2 linked regions of the Sus scrofa genome follow. The protein of the gene in region 2 purifies or fractionates together with the protein of the main gene of each other region. This does not show direct contact. Links are inferred from orthologs where the notes say so. Each region holds a gene or a part of one and is shown on either strand. Other genes may lie near its edges.

Region 1 (2,709 bases), on a different chromosome or scaffold from region 2:
TGAAGTTTGAAATCTGGTCCGAAGTATTCAAAGCAGTCGTTGTACGGAAGCTCTAATTGGGGCAGGGGGTGAGAGAGTCAAGAGATCTGGTGACCATGGGACCCTGAGAAAAGCATCTATAGGTTTATCTGGACCTGTCAGCCCAACTATCAAAGAAGCGTGCCTCCAAGATAGGGTGAGACTTGGGTACCTATAGGATTTCAATTTTTAATTTTTTTTTTCTTTTTTGGCTACAACCCCTTGGCATATGGAAGTTTCCAACCCAGGGACTGAATCCAAGCCACACCTGTAACCTATACCACAGCTACAGCAATGCCAGATCCTTAACTCCAGGATTTCAGTTTTTTAAAAGCGACTCTCCAGTGTCCACTGGAGGGGGAGTGGTGTGTGTGTGTGTGTGTGTGTGTGTGTGTGTGTGTGTGTGTGTGTGTGTGTGTGTGTGTGTGTGTGTGTGTGTGGGTGTGTTAAGGATGTGGCACTGGAGGGGGAGTGGTGTGTGTGTGTGTGTGTGTGTGTGTGTGTGTGTTAAGGATGTGGCACTGCCGCGAGCTGTGGTATAGGTCACAGATGCAGCTCAGATCCTGCAGAGAGAGAGAGTGTGTGTATGTGTGTGTGTGTGTTAAGGATCTGGCACTGCCGCGAGCTGTGGAGCTGTGGTATAGGTCACAGATGCAACTCAGATCCTGCATTGCTGTGGCTGTGGTGTAGGCCGGCAGCTGAATCTCTGATTCACCCCCTAACCTGGGAACTTCAATATGTCAGGAGTGTGGCCCTAAAAAGAAAAAAAGAAAAATTTAGGCAATAACTCATTGTGATCACTCCTTCACTTAACTATCCCAGTTACCCTATAGAGTATTAATTCCAAAAGCATATACAACTGCTGGTAATTCTGTCCAGACCAGAAGCAAAGGGGAGAAAGCATAGGGTCAAGACCCAGAAAAATTGACAGCTATGGTCTGGAAATCACAAGAGGACAGCAGGAGAATCAAGTCAGAAGAGGAGAGGTTGTATGGCCAATGAGAATGGGGCTGTGAACTTCAGGACACACACGCTCCAGCACTCCCAGCCCAATCTGGCCCTGGAGCTATTACCATTAGGGATCTCCGTGTCCAGGGCCACAGCTGTTTCATATGTCCAGCACCGGGCGACATTACGAATGGTGTAGCCACCTCCTCCCAGCATCAACATAGGTAGGTTGAAGCTCTTCACAAACTCCACACACTTGGCGTGCCCTTTAGTGGGAGAAGGGGTGCCAAGTTACAGGAGCACCCAGCAGGACCCTGCCCATCCGTCCCTATGCTACCTGGTCTCACCTTTGATGGTCAAATTGAAGCAACCTAACCGATCCCCAGACAGGGAGTCAGAGCCACACTGTAAGACGACCGCACTAGGCTGGAACATCTCCATTACTTTGGACATGACCTGAAAGGACACATCCTGGTCACGCTGAGCCTCAAGAAAAGCTATTCGAAGTTCAGACTGAAAAGTGGGGGTGCAGCACTATCTTCTGTTACTCATCACCCACTCCTCCTCATGCTGGGTGGTAGAGAGAAGGGAGGACCAGCCTGGGTTTCTCATTTCCCACTGTGTTCAGCCCTCCAATTTGAACGGATCTCTAAGAGCCTTCCAGCTCTAACAATACTGAGCCGAAAATGGCCTCCTTATCAACCCCCAAATCTTTCCCTTTTGCTGCTCTAAGCTCCAGTATCACTTGTTCCAAGAAGCCTTTCTGACCTTTAGTTGCATGTGCTCTATGCTTTTGGTCCTACAGACTTTGAGCCTGATACTGTGAGGAGTCTATTACTTTTTACATCTCATTCTCACACTTTTTTTGGGGGGACCACGCCCATGGCATGTGAAACTTCCTGAGATCAAACCCATACCACAGCAGCAGCCCAAGCTGCTACAGTGACAACACAGGATCCTTAACCTGCTGTGCCACAAGGGAACTCCGCTCACACTAGATTCTTTTCTTTTTGGTCTTTTTGCCTTTTCTAGGGCCTCTCCCACAGCATATGGAGGTTCGCAGGCTAGGGATCCAATCGGAGCTGTAGCTGCCAACCTACACCACAGCCACAGCAATGCCAGATCTGAGCCGCGTCTGCGACCTACACCACAGCTCAAGGCAATGCCAGATCCTTAACCCACTGAGCAAGGCCAGGGATCGAACCCACAACCTCATGCTTCCTGGTCAGATTCATTAACCACTGAACCAGGACGGGAACTCCAACACTAGATTCTAATGTAACTGAGGACACAGACTTCCTCAGAGAGAATTCAGGCTTTTTTGTCGCTCTTACTACAAGGCACATAGTAGGCACTTGGTATTTGCTAAATGACTACCTTATTAGGTTACAACTCTAGTAATGGTTGGTTCCTTGTTGCTTATAGGTGACGATTTAACTACTCAGCAAGGCATTCAAGGTTCCCTTTCCCTTTGAAATACCCCAACAAATATTTCCTACCACATACTTCAGCATTCATCCCCCACGTCATGCTGGCCCACATACTACATACTGGCACCACTGTGCTGCTGCTGGTGTGCTTCCCTCTGCTGAATGCCACCCTTCCCCTCCAGGCCCCACCCTCCTTCACCTGGGCAACTCATTTCTCAATGTCCACTCAAACATCACCACCCCTGTGAATACCCTTTCCTCAGCTCAGGAAGCAGTTTCTCTCTCACTCCTCTGTTCATCCCTCAAAAACAGC
Region 2 (3,654 bases):
ATTCCTCTCTGCACCTGAGAAGCCACCCGTCCATGTTGAGTCCTGCTCAGGACAGGGGAACGAGGGCACCCAAGGGACAGCCCAGGCGAGGCTGTGACGGGCGCGCCAACAGAGGGCAGCGCTGGGAAGCGCCGCGCGGAGGGTGTAGCCGAGCCGGGAACGCAGTGCGGGGTCTGGTGGCGGAGAGGCTGGAGGTTGAAAGGAAGAGGGGTCCTTGCCAGACCCCTCGGAAAGAGGCGGCGGCGCCCCGTCTCGCGGGTAAGGACGCCCTTTCCCTTAGAAACACCCCGGGCGCGTGGCCCTAAAAAGACCCAGCAAAGCCCCAGGGTCGTTGCGCCCGCCGCGCAGGAGCCAGCGTGTTTCTGCGGCGCTGATGCGGCCTCCCTCGCGCGTCGTCTGCCCAGTGCGGGCTCCTCTCTGGCTCCGCAGGAACCGTCTCTGACTCAGTTCCCTGGCTCTCCCTCCGAGGACCCCCGCCTTGCCTCTGAGGAGAGCGGGGTCCGGCGCTTTCATTTCCGGCCCTCAGCTCCCCTCGCAGCCTCTGCGCTTCGTTCCCGTTGGATGATATTCCGACGTGCGCAGGAGGGCAGTGAGTTGCCGCAACACCTGACCTCGTACCCTGGCGTTTCTTGGTAACGCGGGGAAAGTGTTCAGCAAAACCCTTGACCTGGTGGTTGCGCGAGACGCTAGGTTCAGGAGGCTGTGCCCTTGAGGCTGATGGAAGCCCAGCAGCCAGGCTGGCGCTGTGGAGCTGACCCAGCGGGGGCGCTAGCGGGGCATCCTCGGTGGCGGGCGAGGGCGCTGTTTGCAGATGCGGAAGGAGGACCGCCGGACAGAGGTCGAGGCGTCCAGAGAAAGACCCCGAGTGTCTGGAGTGGCCTCGGGCGGGGTGGGGGTGCCCGCCCATCATGTGTCTGAAAAGCGGCTCTTCATTCAGAAGAAATTTTGGCCAAATGGCAGATAGCCTCGGCTCTAATATTAAGATGTTTATTGATCAATTTCCTTCTTTTCTTTCAGCCTGTCCTATGTGGAACATGTGCTTTTCACGAGACCCCTTCTCTTTGAATTCCATTCTTTAAAACTCTCAAATGTGGCAGCTTCTTTTCATTACATGCCTTTTCATCATTATTTTATTAGCAAAGAGAAGGAAAAGGGCAAGTTCCTTGTCAGACTTTGAAGGAAAACAAATGCCTTGACCTGGAGGGTTTGGCCTGTTGGTTTTTTGACTTTTGGCTGCATCTATGACGTGTATAACTGCCTGGGCCAGGGACTGAACTCGCGCCACAACAGTGACAACGCTGGGTCCTTAACCCCCTGCGCCACCAGGGGATGCTGGAGTCTACATTTAAAGGCATTTACTGGCGTTCCCGGGTAACTCAGCCGGTGGAAGATCCAGCATTGTCGCTGCTGTGGCACGGGCTCAGTCCCTGGCCCGGGAAGTTTCGAATGCCACAAGTGCAGCCGGTAAAAAAGTAGACTCTCAGAAGGTTCTCGTTTTTAGCATTCTTAAGTCAGTACAGTTGATCCTGGGTCTGTCATGAGCGTTTTACCTAATTCACAGGCGGCACTGGGGGGCAAGTTGGTGGCAGGACCTCAGGACGCTGTGGCTGTCGCCTTGGCAGGTACCTCTCCGTTCATGGACGTGCTGACGGCCAATGGGCCAACCAGCCTACAGCCGTCGGTCACAGGCGTGACAGCCGGGAAGAGGAAGTTCATTGACGACAGACGAGACCAGCCTTTCGACAAGCGGCTGCGCTTCAGCGTGAGGCAGACGGAGAGCGCCTACAGGTACCGAGACATCGTCGTCCGGAAGCAGGACGGCTTCACCCACATCCTGCTGTCCACCAAGTCGTCGGAGAACAACTCACTCAACCCGGAGGTGAGCAGGGGCCTCGGGGCTGCCCCGCCGGCCGGGTCCCTGGGGCTGGAGCCAGGGGAGCGCAGCAGGTGTACAGCTGCCTGCACAAGGGCGGCCGGGCCCCCTGTGCTCCCGCCTCCAGGTCGGCAGCCGTCCATCGGGGCAGGGGGCTCTCTGACATCACGCGTGAGCTGTGTGCACCAGCCGTCCCGTCACTCTCGTCGGCGTCCCCAGGAGCTGTTCAGACAGGAGTCACACGCCCCAGCCCAGCCCCTTAGAAAACCTCACCGCCCTTCCCAGTCAGTCCCCAGCATTCCTTGGACGGGAACTTCCGGCCGAGGTGGTTCCGTTCCCATCGTGCTGGTAAAGGCAGCCCCCGAGACCGAGAGAGACCGGTGCTTGCAGAGCTTCAAAACCTGGTTCTGGGACGTCCCTCGGGTCGGAAGCGTTTGGACCTGCACCGTGTCAGGCCTGTAGCCTGTTAAGTTCCGGTCTCTCTCCCACTTGTGAGCACCCAGGTCGACCTTTTTCCAGACGAGAAAACCAAACCGCAGACAGCCAGTGTGTCTGGCCAGGGTTCCAGGACAAACCGGTTCAGGGCTGGTCCTCAGTAAGTTGTTACACTGCAGGGCACTTTGACTGCCTGTTTCTAAGTACTTCAACAGAGACTGTGTGTGTGTGTGTGAGCTTTTTATGGCTCATCCGCAGCAAATGGAGGTTCCCAGGTGGGGGGGTCAAATCAGAGCTGCAGCTGCCAGCCTGCCCCCACAGCCACGGCAACGCCGGATCCTTAACCCACTGAGCAAGGCCAGGCCAGGTTTCAAACCTGCAGCCTCGTGGATACTAGTCGGGTTCATTACCACCAAGCCACGTGGGGAACTCCATAGAGGCCATTTTAAAGGCTTGTCCCTCAGTCAAACACCACTCCACGCTGACGGGCTCCTACTCGCCACACGATGCCCCACGCTGGGCTTTCAGTCCCCAGTTGGGAGGCTGGTGTCAGACAAACAAAACAGAGCTGAACTAGCAGTTTCTTAGAACTGGATGCCTGTGCCATCTGCTGTCCAAACTGTAGAAATGCCAAGGGACTGTAATCCGTGACTCGCCTCCCAGAGCCGCCAGGTCTAGGCTGTTCAGGTTAGTTAGACGGACACGTCTGTCCTAACGAGTTTCGTGATGACACGCAGCCCCCGAGAGCCCCAGCCCCTGGCTTCACAGCACACGGACCTAGCGGGTCCCTGTAAGTGGTGGTCGATGGAGGCAGGGCCCCAAGGTGCTCTCCGAGGCTCCAGGTGCCCGGTGGGGGGGGGCCCGCAGGCTTCCCCGCAGCCCCGCGACCCCCCTGCCTTCCAGGTGATGAAGGAGGTGCAGAGTGCCCTGAGCACGGCGGCGGCCGACGACAGCAAGCTGGTGCTGCTCAGCGCTGTGGGCAGCGTCTTCTGCTGCGGCCTTGACTTCATCTACTTCATCCGGCGGCTGACCGACGACAGGAAGAGAGAGAGCACGAAGATGGCCGAGGCCATCAGGTATGCACCCCGGCCCGCCGCGACCCTCCCCTGCCGGGCCAGCTTGCTCGGGCCCGTGGACCCTCCCTCCGCTGAGAGGCTGGGAGCGAAGGTACCCAGTCTCCCGTTCTTCTGGGGGCCCCTGGCCTGGAGCCGAGGCCCGATCACAGGGCTGGCCCGTCCCAGCCTCAGGGAAGGTCCCGGTGGTCAGAGGGCACAGTGGCACGTGGCCAGAGTTTCCAGCATCTGTGCGTTCTGTTCTGGCCCTGGAACAAAGGTGCACTCTCTTTC

Evidence for each region.
Region 1: the proteins of CDYL (region 2) and HDAC1 purify together in Homo sapiens (affinity purification with mass spectrometry; 6 studies listed by BioGRID and IntAct, counting the BioPlex papers as one, with this or other methods). This does not show direct contact. The link is inferred for Sus scrofa from reciprocal best matches to the Homo sapiens genes CDYL and HDAC1.

The regions. Positions count from the first base shown.
Region 1 is NC_010448.4:88,780,462-88,783,170, reverse strand, and holds part of HDAC1 (histone deacetylase 1), read right to left. Parts: intron 1,423-2,709; coding exon 1,314-1,422; intron 1,233-1,313; coding exon 1,092-1,232; intron 53-1,091; coding exon 1-52. UniProt on the Homo sapiens protein: Histone deacetylase that catalyzes the deacetylation of lysine residues on the N-terminal part of the core histones (H2A, H2B, H3 and H4).
Region 2 is NC_010449.5:2,950,364-2,954,017, forward strand, and holds part of CDYL (chromodomain Y-like protein), read left to right. Parts: intron 1-1,622; coding exon 1,623-1,879; intron 1,880-3,211; coding exon 3,212-3,384; intron 3,385-3,654.